Caenorhabditis elegans: one gene and its partner. The protein of the gene in region 1 purifies or fractionates together with the protein of each later gene. This does not show direct contact. Each region holds a gene or a part of one and is shown in the gene's direction. Other genes may lie near its edges. The genes, in order: aka-1 and kin-2.

Evidence for each region.
Region 2: the proteins of aka-1 (region 1) and kin-2 purify together in Caenorhabditis elegans (affinity purification with western blotting, with the first as the bait; one study listed by BioGRID). This does not show direct contact.

What each region holds. Positions count from the first base shown.
Region 1 is NC_003280.10:7,470,851-7,481,517, reverse strand, and holds aka-1 (FYVE-type domain-containing protein), read left to right. Parts: upstream 1-2,980; 5' UTR 2,981-2,985; coding exon 2,986-3,192; intron 3,193-3,243; coding exon 3,244-3,513; intron 3,514-3,562; coding exon 3,563-4,408; intron 4,409-4,457; coding exon 4,458-4,628; intron 4,629-4,672; coding exon 4,673-4,836; intron 4,837-4,881; coding exon 4,882-5,359; intron 5,360-5,404; coding exon 5,405-5,636; intron 5,637-5,687; coding exon 5,688-5,875; intron 5,876-6,685; coding exon 6,686-6,950; intron 6,951-7,005; coding exon 7,006-7,196; intron 7,197-7,242; coding exon 7,243-7,320; intron 7,321-7,368; coding exon 7,369-7,438; intron 7,439-7,485; coding exon 7,486-7,745; intron 7,746-7,795; coding exon 7,796-7,944; intron 7,945-7,989; coding exon 7,990-8,067; intron 8,068-8,117; coding exon 8,118-8,226; intron 8,227-8,271; coding exon 8,272-8,370; 3' UTR 8,371-8,789; downstream 8,790-10,667. Other genes in the region: cah-2 (Putative carbonic anhydrase-like protein 2), read left to right, coding at 1-146, 201-332, 380-469, 515-601; ubc-6 (UBC core domain-containing protein), read right to left, coding at 1,010-1,188, 1,236-1,573, 1,621-1,726, 1,779-1,863, 1,918-2,123, 2,213-2,243.
Region 2 is NC_003284.9:5,970,935-5,981,583, reverse strand, and holds kin-2 (cAMP-dependent protein kinase regulatory subunit), read left to right. Parts: upstream 1-3,729; coding exon 3,730-3,850; intron 3,851-3,909; coding exon 3,910-3,992; intron 3,993-4,772; exon of another isoform or gene 4,773-4,911; intron 4,912-7,300; exon of another isoform or gene 7,301-7,322; coding exon of another isoform or gene 7,323-7,400; intron 7,401-7,672; exon of another isoform or gene 7,673-7,788; intron 7,789-7,915; exon of another isoform or gene 7,916-8,050; intron 8,051-8,379; coding exon 8,380-8,586; intron 8,587-8,650; coding exon 8,651-8,764; intron 8,765-8,810; coding exon 8,811-8,924; intron 8,925-8,968; coding exon 8,969-9,083; intron 9,084-9,149; coding exon 9,150-9,353; intron 9,354-9,716; coding exon 9,717-9,889; downstream 9,890-10,649. UniProt on the Caenorhabditis elegans protein: Controls the rhythmic contraction of enteric muscles probably by regulating G-protein coupled receptor aex-2-mediated calcium influx in GABAergic DVB neurons.

The sequences.
Region 1 (10,667 bases):
CAAATCTCACTGATTTTCAACCATCTGCACTTTTACCAAAAACCTCTCACTATGTGACATACGAAGGATCTTTAACTTTTCCCGGATGTCATGAAACTGTCACTTGGGTTATTTTAAATAATCCAATTTATATAACCAATGATGATGTAAGTCATAAATGAATCTAATGCAAAGGGCTGAAATAAATTGAAACATTTCAGCTTCAAATTTGGAATGAAATGCAAAAAACAGAAACAAAACAACCAGAACCATCATATATGACTCCTGCATATCGTCCATTGAAATCGTTAAATGGCCGTCTCGTTAGAACAAATATAAATGTTGGATCAAAAGTGAGAAAACTTGGTCTTCCAAATCTTTAATATAGTTAATTGTTCAGCAGTCTACTGTATCTTCAAGTTGTCCATCGAATGTTTACGTGGAAATGGGGTACCAAGCGAATCCTGGTAGAAATAAGCGGAATGATTCGGTAAGATACACGTCGCAGATAAATTTTAATATTTTATTTCAACAGGTTTCTCGAAGATATGTTCCAACATCGGAAGTTTTCGAAATCGATAGCATTCGTCCTGATGATGTTTCCAAAGCCGGTTCATTTTAGTAAATTACTGTACATTCTCTACTCTTCTTTCACTTTGAAAAACTTCGCGTTCTTGCTCATTCTTTCTCCGAAAGATTTAACTATTGATCTGTGTATTTCTGTATTTAATGACACTTTGGAACTATAAAATACGGGTTCGATTTTAAATGAAGTGTTTGACTCTCTTTCTGTAGAATTTTGTGATATTTTTTGACTGAACAAATAGTTAAAACCAATTTTATGAATAAAAAAGAACTCAAGAAATAAGAATCACAAAGAAAGATACTCAAATATTTTGTGATAATTTCATTAGAATCTAAATACTAACTGAGAGGAGAGAGCCAAGAAATAACTGGCAAGTGATTGCACGAAGTTTGATTTTAGAAAATGGAAAAAGTACAACGGGATTGAATAATATTATACATGTATTTACAACTCGGAACCGTCTTTTGGTGAAGTTAGATTATCGACAAGGAAGCGACGAGCCAATAGTGTGAAGAAAATAGCGAAACACAAAGCGATAACTGGAATCTTGTATAGAAGGGTATAGTCAAAGTTTGTTGATGCCAAGCGGGGAGCGTGGTGTTGGAATACCAGAGGTTGTGGATCTGAAAATATAAATTATTTTCAAGACAAAATGTTTCAATTCAAGTACCTCGAATGGGTTGGACAGCAGGTTGTGCGACATCTGGTACTTCTGATGAATTGACATTAACAGTAGTACCTTCTTCTCTCTCATCTGCATCTTCTTCTGATTCTTCGACATTTTCTGTTGGGACCGAGCTTGTTTCTTCACTTGGCTCTGTTTCTGTCGGGTTCTTTTGATTGTTGGCTGCTTCAACTTCTTTTTTAACAACAGATTCATCTTGAAACTTGAGTTGGGCAGCAAGAGTTTTCGCTTCTTCGGTTTGTTTTAATTGTCCATCTTCAGTTATCGGAAGAAGCGCAGTTTTCATGACACATCCGCATTCTTTACATTTCCACTCACAGCTCCTATAAATACGCTACTTGATTAAAAACAAATAAAAAATGAGACTCACAATTTGGCTAAACGCTGGCGCTCTTTGGGAGGATAATCCAAACTACCAAGCGCGCCTCCTGGGGTACTTGGCAGGAATCCAATCAACGCGAGAAGAGCTGTACGAACTGCAAAATGTATTAAAAAGTCTTAAAATGAATAGACCATTGTAAAACTTACTGCTCCAAGATGGTAGCCACGTTTCTGGGTGATATCCCGAAATCGAAAGGCATACTTTCTTATTTAGCTCAAATCGTCCATTAGGCTGTAATGAAAAATTGTGTAGACTATGTAATTGCAAGGAATAAACTGAACATACCGTAAGAAGTATCAAATTTGGCGGTTTCATCGGGTAATCTGCTGGAAATATAATTCTACCATGATAAATTCCGCCTTCAAAGTCAGTCCCGAGAGTACCACGAATCGTGAAGTGCCATTCAAAAAGATTGTCTTCCATTGGTTGTGCATGATACATTTCCGTTGGCTGTCGCAGTTCCATGGCTTCCTTCATGAGCCTCCGCACACCTGTAACGGAAAACATTTTAATCGGTTTATCAGAACTTTTGTTTAAAACAAACTCGTTTGTTTTAGTTGCTAAATTTGAAAAGACTCACCGGCATTTTTAGTGTTGTACTGCTCACTCATTTTATTCTCTAAATTCTCGTACTTTCAGTCAAATGACAATAAATGAAGACGGAAATGAGAAAAAAACTGGAAAACCGAAACCAACGTCAGCGAGACCCGAAGAACTCGGGGGATGTCCAATTGGGGGTATTACCAACTCGGGGGATTGGCCCCGCCCACAGAACCGTGGCTTGCAATACGCCCATTTCTGCAACTGCCGCACGGTTTTAAAATCATTTTTTTCTTGTTAATTCTCGCTCTATTGAGAAAAATACAGTTTTAAAACCGTGCGGCAGTTGCAGAAATGGGCGTATTGCAAGCCACGGTTCTGTGGGCGGGCCAATCCCCCGAGTTGGTAATCCCCCCAGTTGGACATCCCCCGAGTTCTTCGGGTCTCACGTCAGCTGAAAAGAATGTTCACCGTCACGTCAAATTGCACACATTCTTTTTAGAAGACACCGTCACGCCAAATTGCGGACAACCGACCACTTGATCGCATTTTCTTTTCTCTCTTGTTGACAAGACTTCCGCGTCGTAAAAGTAGTCTTTACACGATTTTCTGTCCGTTTTTAATTCTGAAGAAATTCCTAAAACGCTATCCTTGCTTAAATCATATTTCTAAAACGCTGGATATTGATTTTCTCTTCGCAAAAACATTTTCCTCCGCATGAACTTTCATACGACAATTTTTTCGGTTTCATAATGATTTTAACATTGACTTGAATATCCGTGTTATTTTTTCAATAATATTCTTGCAGTCACAATGGAGGAAGTACCTGACATGGACGACCTTCTCGACGAAATGGAGTCAGACTTGGTCAAGAAATGTTGCAGTGTTCAATCAAAACCTCTCTTGCCACCAACATCGATAGGAATGCAACCACGTGGCATAAAACACAATCCGGCTCCAAGAACTGTCGTAACCGTTTCAAAATTTGTGATTAGTGAGGATATGAATGAACAGATGGAAGTAAGATCTCCCTGCACTTGTTTTATCTTACAATTACACATTTGTTTCCAGGGCAACATCAATATTGACACTTCACAGCTTCCAAACACATTTCAAACTAAATCAAGTTTTCCGCCTAATTCAGATGAAAGAAATATAGGAAAAGAGAATGAAGTTTCGGCACGTCAAGAAATTGCTCACAAGCTCAAATCTGTTCATAATTATTCCGACGCGACAAATTTCGATCCTTCCAAAAAAGTCATAACACAAAAATTTTCTCAAGAATCAGAACCAGAGTCTGAGCCAGAACCAGAACCTGAAGAAGTATCAGAAGTAGAAGAGGTATGTAATTTATTATAAACGGAAATAAATTATAAATATAATTTTTCAGGATACTCTTGTTCCGGAAACACAAATTATTTCAAATCTCAACGCCACTGCAAGAGACACGGAGCCTACTGCCACAATATCAAAACCAAATCTCGATTTAGATACCGAAATGGAAGATATGCTGGCATACCTAAATGACGAGAGCGTCGATAAGTCGAGTTTGAAAGATAAACCTGCGAGAGAGGAAGGAGGACGTGATTCCATCGAAGAGTCAGCAAATGAATCAGCACTTTATCAATTTGCTGATCGTTTCTCCGAACTGGTAATTTCCGAGGCTTTGAATCATCGGAAAATGCATTATGATCCTGCTGTTAAAGAATTTTACGAAGCAAATGATTCAGTGCCCGATGTATTTGCAATGAGTCTCGATAGTACTCATTCTTCTCTTAATTCTTTCAACGCAGATAATCACAATTATCTTTCTGAGCCGGAAAATTCTTCTAAGAAAGAACGAATGCAATCTGTAGCGGAAGAAAATGAAGCTAGTGAAGAACCGACACAAAGCTCTTCGGAAACAGAGAAGAACCTTCAAAACGAGAAAATCGATGTTGAATTTATTGAAAACTCTGAGGCGATTGTGCAAAATGAGTCAGAAGATGTTCCAGAGTCTAACTCAACCAGCGGAACTGTTCTTGAGAATATCGAAGACCATTTAGAATCTGATGTTGTAATCGAGAATGGTTCTGAATCTTCTTTTGTGAATGAGAAAATGAATGAAGCCTCGACTGCACATTTAGTTGCTGAGCAATCAGTCGTAGATGATTCGGAGATTCACTTGGAAACTGAAGATCAGGAAACATTGTCACCAGAAACTGCCGACTCATCAACAAATAAAAATTCAGATGAAGTTAGTCAAGAGTGTTTATTAAGTAGATTTAATTAATTACTTTTTACAGTTTCCCGATGAAGGTTCTCAATCAGAAGCATCAGTAAACAACGAAGAAGTGTTAGAAAATGTTGAACATGTTGAAGATGAATGCACAGTAGTAGATGCTGTCAATGAAAACACGGATTCCTCAATCGAGGAGAACGACGAGGAAAATACTGAGAATCGTCCACGCTTTGATGTTTGTACACAAATATACATCCAGAATAATTTCAATTGTTTCAGTCTTCCATAGCCACCATTCACGTTCTTCACGAGTCTGACTCAGACGAATCAGCAACGCCACGAAGAGAAAGGAGACTCACCGAATCAGAATTACAACTCGGAAAAACATCACCGTATTGGATTCCAGATTCTGAATGCCCAAATTGTATGCTGTGCAATACAAGGCAATAATTTATTAGGAATAGGCCTCTAGTTTGTATTTTTTTCAGGTTCACAATTATTACTAGACGCCATCACTGTCGTGCATGCGGACGCGTTCTCTGTGGTTCTTGTTGCAACGAAAAAGCTTTCCTGGAATATCTTCAAGAAGAAGGCAAAAAGCTGCAAGCTGTGCGAGTATGTAAACCATGTTCTGCAATGCTTGCCAGAATTGAAACCCATGAGCAAGATGAACAGAGACGGAGAGAATCAATCGCTTCTGAAAATGGGTTGAGTGGAGATGAAACGATCAGTTCTATTCCAGCTGCTTCCACCTCAATTCCTCGCGGTGTACTGAAAACCAAACCGACGGTACATGTTAATGAAGAAGATGGTGCATCAACAAGTAGTCAAGCTCACTCGACATCGGGAAATGTGTCAGATTCTTCAAGAAGATCGGTAATGTTTAGGGATGGAGTCCGTCCAGGTGCACCTGCCGATGAAGGAAATCCAGAAGAAGAACGATCAACTGCACTTAAACCAAAAAAGGTTTGTGAATTATGTTAGATTATGCCAATGAACGAATGGTTTTAGAAGTCAAGGAAACGGACATCAGTAGTCAGAAGAATAGCAGAATTACGGATGGAGGATGAACTGGCTTGTGCACTTCCGAAAGAAGGAATAACTAAATTATTAATTGTGAAACCTGATTGTGAACATCCGAAATTCGAAGACGCATCCACTGTTCTTGAAACACTTTGCAATTTTTCCGTCGTCACTGTCGTTCTCAAAAAAAATTTGAATTGCACTGTACAAATTTTTAACAGTAAGAATACATTTTAATGTTTTTTTTTGCAAATAAGGTTTATTTTTCCAGATCCTAACTTCGGTCTCGTCTGGGCTGTATCAACGCAAGGTTTCGCTCAAATTGGACTCGACGAATTGATGTTTTCATGGACTTTGAACGATCAAGAAAAACAAAAAGTTGATGCAGAAGAACCCGAACTTGATGAAAAATCTGCATTGGTAGTTTTACCTCTCCCAGTTCTACATCGTATATCATTGGTGAGTATTATTATTTGCATGATCTAAATTTCGAAAACGAAAAAATAAAAAAATACGAAGCGGAAATGAAAAATTTTGTAAGATTGTAGCGTTATTTTGAAAAACCTAAGCTTCTTCATCAAAATTGCACCTGAGGCACCACGTTTTCAAGATCTGTTCAAAAACAAGATCTACGAAAACAAGATCCACCAAAACAAGATCTACATTTTCAAGATCTACCAAAACAAGATCTACGTTTTCAGGATCTGGCACCGTGCCAACTGCGGTTTTCTCTACGCGCGCGTACGCGTCGCGTGTTGCTAAGCGTAAATTCTAGAAGAAAATTTCAAAAAATATTCGTTTGAACGCTAAACAACACGCGACGCGTAACATCGGAGCATCGTTGTTTCGTTTTCTTCGAGAAAATCGCAGTTGGCACGGTGCCAGATCCTGAAAACGTAGATCTTGTTTTGGTAGATCTTGAAAATGTAGATCTTGTTTTGGTGGATCTTGTTTTCGTAGATCTTGTTTTTGAACAGATCTTGAAAACGTGGTGCCTCTTGCACCTTTTTTATAAATTCGAATGTAGTTTTGTGAAAGAAATATAAAATTTATCAGTTTTTGGGTTAATCAGAATTTTTTATCCCTTTCTAATGCGAAAAATAACTTTTTTACTGAAAAACAATTTTAATTTTTAAAAAAACTCTAAACGCTGCCTCAAAAAAGACGCTATATTTTTTATAAAAGTTAGCTAATTGGTTTAGGAATTAAAACCAGAATTAATCAACAAAAAATCACTATAAAATTAAAATAAATTCGCTTGCATTACAGATCTACACTCAATCCACCGAACATGAATACGCTGGTGTCAGAAAGGTTGAAAATCGTCTGATGCGTGTGCATTCTGTTACAGATCCAACTTATCCATTAACTAAACACATTATGTTTTTCCGGCCTACTGTACAAGTTGGTCTCAAGAATATGCGAATTCCCACAAATCCATTTCTGATTGCTTGTTTCCTGCACGATGATGAACTCAATTGGGCGACAGCTCTTCCTAATCGTTTATTGTATAAACTCGGCGAGAAGTTCAATGGTAAGTAACATTGATATTTTTGTTTATATAATTTTATAATTTTTAAAAATTTCAGTATTCCCAACACCGTTTGTCAATAGTATTGGCCGTGAATCTACATACAGCACTGATGTATCCGGAACTGTATTGAAGGTGTTCACTGACTTCCGGTCTTGGTCTTATAGAATGCGTCACATTTCTGGATGTACAGTCTCGTTGACAAATGATAAAACTGTAATCAGAATTCCAAAATCGGCAATTAAAGAGGTTTATTAGCAAAAGTTTGAAAAATATTTTAAAAAATTGTTTTCAGTTAAAAGATGTTCTAAACTTTAGTCGTTCAATGGTCGCTTGGAGTTGTGATTTGCATTGCGAAGATGATAGTGTACTTGTAAGAGGATTTTTATAATTTACTATCGGAATAATTTCATTGCTTAAGGTTTGTGAGGAAACTGACCCAGGGCTTTATTCGACTCAAGTGTTTGCCAAAAATATTGGACAAAGAGAATGTAAGTTTCTTACTAATAAGAAAAGTTCTTAAATTTCGTTTTTGTAGCTACAAGTGCATCATTTGTAATTCTCGATGGTGGATCGAAAGTCAGTTCACTTCAAGTAAATGTTGTTGAGGATGGTGTTGCTGTAAGACTTCAAAGCGAGCGATTGGAAACTATTTTAAATGCAATTAACGATGGAAACGATGCAGTTGAATCATCTAAAGATATGGAATTTCGTGTCGAGTTTGTCGAAGACGGTAACTGGATTTGTACAGACAGTGATTATTATCCAAAATCGCAGATAGACGGCCTCTATCTCATTGTAAGGATCTGGATCTCATGTTCAAATATTCATTCAATTCCAATTTTCAGAACAAATTTCAATATGGATTGTCTCTCGAAAGAGCTCTGACGCAAGTTCTACAAGTTCAGGGAATAAATGATTATGGAATCAGAATGTCACATGTTTATAATCTCGGTGATGGTAGACTTCAGCCTGAGGAAGAACCTAAAATTTATGGGTAATCAGTAATATTTTATTTTAAACTATGTTCTTCTATTTTCAGAATGATTGAAATTGCTGCGAGGGAATGCGTTGCAATGCTTGAGCCACATATTCAACATTTAATTTGTGCTGGTATTGGGTAAGAATTTTGAGACAAAAAACTTGTTCCGTGATTTCTGATATTTTCAGAAGCGTTTCTATTCGTTTATTCGTTTCGCCGTATGAGTTCGAGTACGATGTTTCGAAATGGCTCGGGTTAGAAGCCGAAAATGACAAATACAAGCAAAGTCTTGATCAGGTATATTTTTAATTTATGCTCAGACCAGAACCCATTGATTTTCAGCTTATTCCAATGTTGTACAATATGGTAGAGTATGTTCCAAATGGTTTTGAAGTCGAATTCGTACTCTCAATTGTGTCTACAAGAGCTCTTCCAATCTGAAACCTTTCGATCCAAATTGAAACATTTTTCTGTTGCCCATTTTCCTAAGAGATTTCCATATATTTCATTACAATGTGCAATCACCCACTTTTAACCTTTTTTTTGTAGAATGCATCCATTTTTACTAGTCTCTCTTTAGACATTCTCAACGCTTATTCGTGTATCCAAATCCTGTGATACTTATTCCATTTTTCTTGTAGTCCCCAAAACACTCCATCTCACTTCTAACACATTTTATACTAATCATGATCGATTTTCTTCTCGGAGGATTTTCAATTATTATTTGATTAGTCGCGGAGTTAACTTGTAATTTAAATCCTTCCGTTTCACCCCCTTGATTTCTCTTTCCGCATCCCATTAATTTTCAATGTTTTGCATAATGATGATTTATAGAAGAAGAAGCAGTTCTCCAATTGAAACCACCGTTTTGTTCATATACTCAAATGCATGCACATTCCAATTGGCATTGACCATCTTCCAAAAGGCAAAGCGAAGTAGAAACGACATATATGAAATAAGTGCTCAAGGCCGAAAATAAATAAATGTCACAACACAGTACAAATAACTCAATTTTTATTAACATTATGCGATTTCATATTTTTTCCGGCTTGGATCCATGATCAACTGCTTTGGACGTCTTCATGTTCGTGTTGGTCGAGCCACTGATCCAACACGCGGACTCGGGCAACGAGCAGTGATGGTGGACGACGACGTGTTGACCTAAATTGGAATCTTATGTAGATTAGATAAATACACTTGTTAGCGAAAGTTTGGTTTTTGTTTTGAGGGTATTGATCATAAAAAAGAATTTCTAAGTGTTTAAACGGAGTATCTGAGGCATGCAAAACTTACATCCAAAACTTGTGAGTCGATTGGTTCTTCCGAGATTGAAAGTTCCAATGACATAGGATTGTCTTGAAATCGTTTTCTGATTTTTACCACAGTTTGGTATCCAGGCGGCGGTCTAGGTATGATGTGAACACGCTCTTGAGACATTTCTACAATAATTATCTTACGATTATCACCATACCACACATTTCAATGAAGGTGGAGTATTACGGCAACACAAAACTCTGAGAATGCATATTCCACAACATATTTGACGCGCAAAATATCTTGTAGCGAAAACTACAGTAACTCTTCTAATGACTACTGTAGAGCTTGTGTCGATCTACGGGATCTCGATTTTTGAAATGAATTTTCTCATTTTTTTCTAAATTTTAATACTCTATTGATAAATCAATGATCAGTAAAAAATTTGTTTTAATTTATATTTCAAAAACTAGCCAGTAAATCGACACTACAGTAGTCTTTTAACGAATTACTGTAGTTTTCGCTACTAGATATTTTGCGCGTCAAATGTGTTGCGGAATACGTATTCTCATAGCATAATAGCGCCAATGGGTATCTCACGTTAATATATGAATGCTCAAATACTGTTGAGGCCGTGTAGAATGTATGTAGTCGGTGTCGATCACGTCTCCAGTACCTCGCCCTCTCTCCCCGTGTGTCCCAGTAAATCATCTGAATTATGTGTAAGAACGGAATAAGACGAACAAGTGATTACTCAAAAACCTATTTATTATACAACCGCGCCCGTGTGGGTCACGCAGGACTCTAAATAGAATAAAACAAGTAAAAGGAGGGAAATACAGTAAAGAACAATAGAAGATGGTATTAAAGTTCCTTGGTGTTGGTGTAAAAACCCTCTCAATCAATACGAAGGTAATAGTGGGTCAATTAAGGAAGATATAATTCAAATAGGGTTTAAGATATAATTCTAACGTAGTGGGTATCGCTACGCGCTGGGAAAATGAAGCATGTGGATATAGATGGTGTGATATGTTGTGGATGTTGGTATTGATAGAGATTAGAAGTATTTTGATAATAATTACGGCATCAACAACATATCATCAGCATCGTATTTCACCAATTCGTCGACAAACAAGTTGTTAACTCGCGGGTGGCGGTGGAGTTGGCACGGCGCCAAGTAGTTAGAGACGCAGTGGGGTCTCGCCGTGAAGGCGCTACTGTAGGCTGGTGGCGCGCGATTTGAATACGAATATTTATGAGGTGATTGATATCTCAGCGAATACTGAACGGATTTGAATGGAACAAAATGTAATAAAGAGATAATAACTGGAGGAATATTCGACAGTTCTAATATTGGTTAAGAATAGTGGGCTATTCAATGTGGAACCAATATTAGAGTACTGTAAAGGTTGTCGGGATAGCTCCGTAAGGGGCAGAATCGACAACAAATACAACAAAAGATAACAAAAATCCTTAATTCGGTT
Region 2 (10,649 bases), on another chromosome or scaffold:
TTTGCAGCGCAATAAAGTTTAGGCGTCGACGGGTCATCTGGTTAAATTCGTTCATTTTCCAAGACCACATAATCATAAAAAATAGAGAATGAGATGAAAGTTGTTTAATGGTCTTGCAATTTCATTTCCAAACCTGATCTTCTACTCTATCCACCCTATCAACACAAAAATTCGCATTATCTCATAACGATTTATTGGTATCGTAATTTGAGCTGTGTTCGAACGAAAAAAAAAGGAGAAACCGTATGCGGGGAGAGGGCTACATTTCATGTTGTTGTTGGTAGTGTGCCTCGGCGAAAATCGCTGCCAATATTTCTCTAACTAGGAGCAATAACGCCTGACAGGCTCCCATTTCTTCTAAAGGACACAAAATAGCAGCAATTTCGATGTGTATATCAATCCTCCTTATTTTTCCGTTTCTCCATTTTCAAGACAATCATTCAGTTTTAAATTTCCTCGATCGATCTATTTGTTTTATTATTGCGTACTTTGTACGCTTCAAAATGTGAGCAGCAAGCAAACAGGTCGGTTTTCCGGGTTCAGTCAGTTTAGTCAAAGTTTTCTAGGTATTCCAAATACTTAACTGTGTCATGAAACGAAGAAACCGAATAAAAAATATAAAAGTTGTGACGCACGCACTGTGGGAACGTGGAGCCCTATTTTCTCAACAATCCATTTCCTTCCATTTCCTTATTCTTGCTTTATTCTGACACTCTGGCACTCATTTTCTTCCCGCAATACATACCATATAGTTCTGCAAACCGTCACATTTTTTGTTCAATCTAACATGTAGGTGTAGCCAGTGGCAATGCAAGCCAGCAGCAGTTCATAAAATATGCAAAATTTTTTGGGCAACGTCAGAAACCCGCAGAGAGATGAAGAGGGTTACTCGAGACCCCGCACGCATAAAGTCTGTCGCAAAGTCTGCAGTGTGAATTCGAATCGATTTCCGTTTTTTTTTCTGCGTTGTTTTTGTTCGGTCTACATAGATAATACGATCATTTTTAAATATGTAGCAGTCTCGGGGTACAAGTTGTCAAGTGAAATCGTTGCTAATTATGATCCATGTTCTCTGTGCTCACGTAATATTCTATATTAGACTGTTTGTTTTTGTATTCAAATGTAAAATACAACCTTTCTAAAAATTTTGAAATTATTTCCTCTCATTTTTAAAATTAATTACACTTCTGTTTATTCATTCATTTTGATACAAAGTGGTTCAAAACAATGAGGGGAAATAATACACAAGTACCGTTTTAATTATGGCAAAAACATTAAAACTATATATTACGAAGAAATCACTGAGATTTTTAAAAGATATTATTATAATAATTAAAAGTGGGGCAAAAGATTCCACTGCTTTTTGACTCGAAAAAAACTTGCAAAGGTTTATTTTTAAATATATTTTATTATGATATTTAGTCATTTTAGCGTTATTGATTTTAAATTGTTTCATTTTTTATCTCCCCACTGTCTGTACTCCACCTAAAAATGTTTTTGTGAGATATATCATTTAAAAAATGTATTTTTGCAAGACTTCTTGATTTTTCCAAAAATAAAAGCCCGAAAAAAATTATATTTCTGAATAACAGTTTTTGTTGTAAAGTTGTATCAATACAACAACATGACTCACATTCACAACACACTATACGTTTTTTTTCTGTAATAATGTCATGCGGGTTGTATTTATCTTCACAATACTTTTTTCCAAGACGTATCCATCATAAAATCAAACAAAATTTATTATAGTAATTTGGAAATTAGAAGATTGATTAGAAAAATAATTTTTATAACGATTTTGACATTGAGAGTTTTTGATTGAGAAGTGATTAAAAGAAAGAATTTATGGGCGCTGGGCGGTTTCTTATAAAACTACCTAATTCAAACATTCCTCTTTTCTGTCACAGGCAGAGGGTCTCCTGAGACCTAAAAAACGGGTGGGCGCTCCACGAAGAAGACGCCGAAAAAAAAAAACAATTTCCCCGGGCGTCGTCGTTGTCGTTGTCCCTGCCTCTGTCTCCTCACGCTTCTTCCATGATTCATAGGGCTCCTTCTCCTTTTTGCTTTGCTTTTTCGCGATTTCTCAGTTTTTTGTCCCGTTTGATGCGTTCCGTATAATATAGAAACGTTGCTTTTTATCCAACAAAACTTTTACATTTTTGTACCAAAAATCCGACAGATTAGCCTATATGGATTAAAGATAAGCTGAGAGTCGGCTGGTATGCTAACTTGATTACCAGCATGCAATAGGATAAAAAATATTGTTCAGTTCTCCCTGTTCCTATTTCAATTTACGTCATATGCCAAAGACCAAAGGCCACGGGTGGTGTAGAGCAAGAGTCCGAGGGGAAATGCCCCGTTGTAATTGGGCGATAACATGAAGACACCCTCGATTTCATCGATAGGTCATTTTCACATTTTCACATTGTGATATTGATTTCTGAACGTTTAGTTTAGTTTATTATCATCACTTGTTTCTCTCGCATGCAAAAAGGTTTACAAACCCGCCTAGAAACCGCATAGGGAGGGGGAAGAGGCGAGAGAAAAGTTAGCATTCGTAGGTATTAAATGCATTTTCTAAAAAATAGGGTTTGAACAACAAATAATTGCTGTTTTTTGCTTGTACTTAAAATGGGCTCGAATTAGCATTCGAAATTCAAAAAAGACCAACAATTGATAGATTCACCAGTTTTGCTAAAGTTTCCAAGTTGCAGAGAATGAAAATTATATATATATTTTTTAATGGAATTATCATTTTTATTGATTGTTTGGTTCACATTATTTAGTTGATTCAAGTGTGTTAAAAGCCGATAAGTACTGAATTTCAATTATGTTTGGTAACCTATCAACTTTAAATGCACCCTTATTAACAAAAAAACGTGAGATAAATTATAAAAATATGCAATACAAATGATACTTTAATGCAGTTAATTTGCAACGCAGAAAAGTGTTTCCCAAATTTTAAACGCCCCCTCGAACGGAATAGCTTATTTATTTTTTGAGAAGTTCATTTGAGTACATTTCGAGTCTATACATGCAAACAATTCAAAACCGTATACATCAAAATTATTTCTATACATTTGTAGCTGCTTGTAACTCTATATGAATTAAACAAAAAAATCTCAAATCAAATTCGTCCGTTTCCGCGACATATTGTAACCGTTGATCTCCTATCAAAAGAGGAAATTCCCTTTATCTTTAAATTATAGTTTCCGGTCTCAGTACTTGCGCGACGACGTTTTTCATTCTGCTAATTATCACCATCAATCATCATATTTACTTTCCGACCATCTGTGTGATCAAAGTGATGAACTGAACTTGTCTTCAAATTTCAACAAATCAATTATCTGATTTTTCTCTTTTTCTCTTTTTCTTTTCTCTCTTTTCTCGTTCTCTCGCTCAACCAAGTTTGGGTATCAATTTTCTTTTCTTGCTCCTCCTCTCTGTTTTTTCCTTCTTCTCCACTTTTTCTTCCTTTTTTTGCTGCTCAATTCTGCTTTGATCTACTGGGAAGGCTGTGTGCCAAGATTTTCCAAAATGTTGTACACTGGCGGGTGTATCAGCATTCATTCGGTAACCGCTCATCTCGCTCTTTTCCGCGGCATCCCCCGTCAAAAGTCTGTTACCTTCCCCACCAAGTTTTCATCTCATTTCAAACGTGTGTTTTCTGCTATTTTTCTCGCATTTTTGTCTCTTTTGTTTGTTTAAAACAAGAAATGACTGAAAATTATGAACAATTATTCAGGTGACATTGTTTTTATGTCGGGTGGAAACGAAGAGGATCAGTTGGCACAATGCCAGGCCTATGTGCAACGACACAACATTCAGCAGCTTGTCAAAGAAGCAATTGGTGAGTTTTTGAAAATCTAGCAAAATAATAACACGAAAGTAAGAATACGATTTTTCCAGTTGTTCTGTGCATACACAAACCCGACAACCCGGTTCTCTTCTTGAAGGATCATTTTGAAAAACTCAACGAACAACGAGCACAGGTTAGTTGAGTTGCAGAGAATTTAGAAATTGAAAAAAAAAATATTTTCAACATAAAAGTGAGAAGAATGACAGAACCAGTTCGAAATTATGACCAGAAAAAGTATTCAAATTTGCTGACACTGAAAGAGTATTGACGTGGTACGCCAAAAAAGTTAATTGTTGCGTTTTGAAACGGTTCTTCTTATCGGAAAACGTAGTGTTGCATAAGCGTATTATAACGTTTTGAGTACAATTTGTGATGGGGGTTTTACAATTCTTCAGGATTTTTATTTAATTGTTCGTGTTTTCTGAACCATGAAACTCGGTTTCAGACTTTCAAATTTGAAATTCACATAGCTTTATAATTATATCATTGTTCTAGATCAGTGAAATTTGTTATTTTATTCTCATTCATAGTACCAAGTTTTTGAGGCATCGAAAATCTCGTTTGACTCGCTTCAAATATTTGAATATTTTATCCGGTTTTGTGGGAGCCAAGCGTCATGATTTTTTGTTTCGATCTTGTTTTTAATGAGATGCACTGCAAAAAAAAGCTTGAGAAAAAACTGGAAAATGCAAATTAGGTCAAACATCTTCCTGTGTCTTTTTCGTCATTCCTCCGCGTTTATGGCTCGAATCAATGAAAATGAAGCTTCACTTCGTTTTTTTTTTCGTCTTGTGTTGCTTCTTTTTTTCATAGAAAGCAAGCCTTGTGTATGTCGTTTTTCCGTCGGGGTCCTCTGGAGAAAGAGAAGAAAAAGAAGAAGAGGAAGAAGAAAAAGAGGCACTAGTTAGCTGGGAAAACGAAAGGATGAAAGAGAGCGGATAAGGCGTAACGAAAACGAAGAGAATTGAGAGAATGGGCCCTTTGAGACGAGTCCCAATGAGCCCTCCAGAGCTGTCCATCGAGCATCGAGCGCCCGCAGCCATTGGCTCAGCTGCCGAGCTCTTTTCCCTTTTTTTCGGGTCCGGTTTGTGAAGCGGAGAGAAAGTGACGAAGAATGAAGAAGGCCTCGGGGCAGATTTCTCTTGCTCTTCGTTGCTCTTCGGACGATCGCATTTTTCTTCTCCTTCTGCCGCTCCTTAATGCTCCATGCTTTTTGTTCTCCGTTGTTTTTTCAACACCCTCGCATTTTGTGTCTGGAATTTTTGTTTCGAAAATAATTGAAGTAGGTAGTATTTTCACAAAAATAACAAAAGTCAAAAGACTAGTCATAAATCTTTAGGAGGTCAGGTGAAAGAAAGGGAAGAGGAAACAGTAACAGTGACGACGAACCAAACATCATTGTCACGTTCTTTGAAGATGTGAAATTCTAGATTTAACCTTTTTTTTTCTCTGACACCTAATTTTTAAAATTCCAAAACATTTTGCTTTTTTTTCTGTCACAAATTTTAAACGCTTCAAACAAAAAACAACATTAGTCATAATCCAGGAAATATAAGGTATTACAAACTTTTTATGACGTCATCGTTACTTGCAACATTCTGAAAAGGTTCTCGAAACGATTATATATATATATATATATATATGATGAAAAACAACACAAAAAGTTCGGAGCTCTAGAATTTCAATTTGGGAACATTCAAAAAAACACAATAAAACTAAAACACTCGAGTCCACTTTTCACACTCCAATTTTTATGTCTTTTTTTGTACACATGTGTTTCAGTTTTAGACACAGCTTATCAAAATCGAATTGGGGCGGTTTTTTGGAATGTGGTCATTAAAAAAGTGTGTTTAAATTTCTATTGAAAAATTTGAACGTTTGTATTTTTTTTTGAAATTGTAAATAGAAATATTAATTTTGAAATGGAAAACTAAGTTTTGAAATTTAACATACTAAATTTGCCAATGCCATTCACTAAAGGACCATAAAGTGTGCGTACCTTCCATTTCCTGCGTCTCTCAACATATTTCTTTTGCATACTGTTCGGACGTTTATCGATCTTTTATGTTCTCTCTTCTTTCCAACCGCTTCCCCAGAAAAATAGTTTATTTTAAACACTCGTTTATGAAAATTTTTTGGCAAATGCTGATACACAATTTTTTTTTCATTTTTAAAGTTTTACAACTTTTATTTTCGAAAAACTAGGAAGTGCATACTCCGATATTTTCTATCTTCTCTCCGCCTCGTTTTCGTTATATTTGTCTGTCAAATTCAATAATCGAATAAAATTTGCCCCGAAGGCAGCTTCTATCCGGCCGAGTGTTTTTATGACCGCCTCAGAGATAGAGAACGATGCCAAGTTAAATGGAGAGAATGAAAAGAGTCACGCTTTTCTGATGCTAAATGACTTTATTGATTTTTGAGAGAAAAACTATTCGAATAAATAGCTCGTTTTTTACGAGGTTTTATTGAATATGTTCGAAAACTAGTAAAATGGGTTTTTTTTTCAAACGAATTGAAATATTAGTCATACCATTCTCTTTGTTTTTCTCCACGTAAAAAATGCCTCGAACGTTATCATTGTGTCATTTTCTATAAAATCAGCTGATTTTTATTTTCTGTACCACAGAAACTTTTATGAATTCTAAGAATAACGTGGCAGATTTTTAAGATAGGGAATTTGTCATTTATTGGATATTTCTCAATGTGTGCATAATACTCTCTGTGAGCACAATACACTCATCGTAAATTAACTTCGATGCGACAAATCAGAAATTAAATAGTTACTCTTAGAAATACTGAAATTGAATTTTTTTTTGTTGTTTCATAAAACAACATGAGTAAGAATAGAGGAACAATTCGAGACTATTTATTTTCTGTCTAAATGTTGCGGCTGCTATAGTAAATTGCCGGTTGCTTGAGACAAAAATGCATGAAGTCGTTGTGCCCTCCACCTACTAAATACAACTGGCAAAGCTCTTTCAGATATTGACATTCTTACTTTTTCCTCTTCCGTCCTTTCCTCTCCCTCTTTCTGTTTCGTTCATTTTGCGCTACCACAGCAAGAAAAACATTCACACGCCTTCAATTAGGTCTCATGTGGAAACCCGGTCCGATTTTGATTTTCGTCTTGTTTTTAGCCTTCTCATTCTACCTCCAACTACAACATACTACTCAATGTTTTGTCATAGTTGTTGTAGTTGAAAGTTCGACGCACACACAATTGCCTTATTTGCCTCCTGACGTGTTCCTTCATTTACAATAGTCATAGTGTTTGTTTTTTCAAATATTTATTTGACTGCTCACCACAACTCTGGTTTCCATGGATATGTTTTATTCCAAAACATCTGCTTCTTAGAAAATTGCCGTTACATTCCTCTTTTTTCACCTACATAGACTTTTTCTTATTCTTTTAACCAAGTTATTAATCAATATTGTCAGAGTATCACCACCAAGGAATGTGATGGGGCAGCAATTGAGCAACCGACGAAACTCGCAATCTGTGGGCGCCACAAAAAACGCAAAGACTCCAAAGCCTAAGGTGATAGTTTTTTGAGAGGATAATCACTTTTTTCTTATGGATTTTTGGATTTCATGCGTAGTTCGAATTAATTCTCTGATTAGAATGGCTTCTATGTTTTCAAACATCACATTTAATAAAATTTCTTGAAAAAATCAAGTTAGAAATTTGAACTGTTCAAAACCTGATCTTTTTAGGCAATTTTAAACGGATTCTGCAAACTTCTAGAAATAAAAAAAAACAAAAATAAAGGGAGACCTCAAAAATAAGAAATTGTTTTGCACAACAGAAACAAAAGTAACCAGGTGTCTGCTAGTATGATCGAATCTCAGTCACGACGGATGAATGATGAGCGGCGTGGAATGAAATGAAAAAAGGGGAAGCGCTGGAACCTTGATGGAGCACTAGCAAAATTGTAGGACGAAGAGACTTGCGAGAGCTACGAGTACGCATTTGAAGCACATTAGACGGCGCGGCAGCTCGCTCGGCGATAGATTGGCTCAGTGTGCACCGCACTTCATATTTCCTTGCGTTTTTCTTCTTGCTTCTTTCCATTGAAAAATTCTTCCAATCCATTTTCAATTCAGTGGTTCACACCTTAAAAATGGAGTTGAACATGTACCGGGTGAGTGAGCGAGTGGGTGTATTTACTTTCTGCTGTGTTGTTTTTATTGCGCAAATAGACAGGCGGAGACGGTTGCCCTGTTGCTAAACAGAAACAAGTAAGTTTGCGGCGTAACATAATTTACATTACCTGGTGGCCCACTTAATACGATTCCCGATTTACAATTTCCAACCTCAAGGTTAACGTTTTGTCGAAACAAAAAAAAAATAGCAGAGGGTCAGTAATTGACTGAACTGGTTCTGGTCATTTTATATTTTGATTTTTCATTCATTTTTTCCGTCGCTGAACTAACTGAAACAGGAAAATTCCAAAATGGTTTGTTATTTTGCACATCTTTTATTTTCAAACTTTCCTTATCAAATCTTAACATTTCAGGAAGGAGGAAATCCGGACGCTGCTGATGATGACGACATCATTGTGGAGCCACCAAAGAGATCAGGTGGACGCAGAACCGGAATCTCTGCCGAACCAATCAAGGAGGACGATACCGAGTACAAGAAGGTTGTGATTCCAAAGGATGATGCTACAAGAAGGTCGCTTGAGTCAGCCATGAGGAAGAACTTGCTCTTTGCTCATTTGGAGGTGAATAAATTCCCAAAAAAATTTCTAATAACATTAAATTTTTATTCAATTTTTTGGTTTTTAGGAGGATGAGCAAAAAACCATGTACGATGCCATGTTCCCAGTTGAGAAGTCTGCTGGAGAGACCATCATCGAACAGGGAGAAGAAGGAGATAACTTCTATGTTATTGATAAGGGAGTGAGTTGCTTCTCTCTAAGAGCTTATCCGTACTTTCATATTTAAGACCGTTGATGTCTACGTCAATCACGAGTACGTTCTCACCATCAACGAGGGTGGATCATTTGGAGAACTTGCTTTGATCTATGGAACTCCACGTGCTGCAACCGTCATTGCCAAGGTGGCAAAATGCCACTCAAATTCATTTTATATATTTTCTTCCAGACCGACGTGAAATTGTGGGCCATCGACCGTCTCACCTACCGTCGTATCTTGATGGGATCAGTAACAAAGAAGAGAAAGATGTATGACGAGTTCCTCTCCAAGGTTCAAATCTTGGGTAAGTAAATTGAAGAACCAGAGAAGAAAAATGAACTTAAGCCGAGACTCATCAATCATCTTTCAGCCGATCTCGACCAGTGGGAGCGCGCTAACGTGGCTGATGCTCTTGAGAGATGCGACTTCGAGCCAGGAACTCATGTCGTCGAGCAAGGACAACCCGGAGACGAATTCTTCATCATTCTCGAGGGAGAAGCCAATGTGTTGCAGAAGAGAAGCGACGACGCACCATTCGACGTTGTCGGACATCTTGGAATGTCGGACTATTTCGGTGAGCAATAATCAGAAAAAAAGAGAAAAATTGGAAAAAAAATGAACAAACATGGAAAGATCAAAAAACTAATTGTATTTGGCAATATGCGGGTGATTCAATAAATGCAAACATTTTTTTTATTGAAATATAACTCTAGACAAGATTTTTGTGACACTTCATATATCAATGTAGGCTTTTCATGAAATGCAGGCGCGGTTTCAGGGAATGACGTCGCTTTGCATTTTGGTGTTAAATCAAAACCCTGGTGTTTGCACCAGAGCCCGACACGTTTTGATTTTTGAACCGCACTAATCAGTAGGCGTGGGTCGCGACCCTTGTCGACGCCTGAATGAAAGCTTTATTTCAATGTCACAATTTCAGGAGAAATCGCTCTTCTTCTCGACCGCCCACGTGCCGCCACCGTTGTTGCCAAAACCCATCTCAAGTGCATCAAGCTGGATCGTAACCGCTTCGAACGTGTCATGGGACCAGTTCGTGAGATCCTGAAGAGAGACGTTTCAAACTACAACTCATACGTCAAACTGATGACCTAATCGGATTACAATCCGTTTGCCCCGCATCTTCCTCATCACCGTATCTTCTTTTCCACCTTTTCGCCAAAGTACTCGTAACTATTTTTTGAAAGTATCCCAAAAATTCTTCCTTAGTTTTTTTTTAGTATTGTATTTTTTCCTGTATTTTTTTGGATTTTCTATTATTCTGCATACTGTCTAGACCTGTAACCTTCTTCTCTCACCAACCGTGACATCTTCAAGCTCCCCCCCCCCAATCAATTCGTTCCCTATCTTCATTTCTAGTCAGTCGATGTCAAATTAAATTCTAAATGTCTAAATTTCTAACTCATAGCCAAAACAACATTCATTGTTTTAACCAGCCCAAAATCCTAGTCAGAAGTTTGCAGAAAACTATTTGAAACTCCTCGTGAAAAAGCTAAAAAAATGTTCAACTAGAATAGTTTTAGTTTTTATTCCCTGTGTAACAAAAAAAACAGTTTTGCATGTTTTCTATTCCACCCTAAAATTTCAACATTTTCAGTAGCTTTACAGCTCAATCTTTACCAACCATTTCCTTCAATTCCTATAGGTTAACTCAAAGAAGAAACGAACACCATTCTTCATTAATTAACATTAAGCAGTGAATGCCAAATCTTGTCTTTAATAATATGTAACATATAATTTTATGAGAAATAAGAAATGCGCATCCACAACAATCGTCCCCCCCCCCCCCTACCCAGCACACATTTTTTTCTTATTTCGTTCCACTTCTGAATTCTGAACTCCGTCACCCTTATCC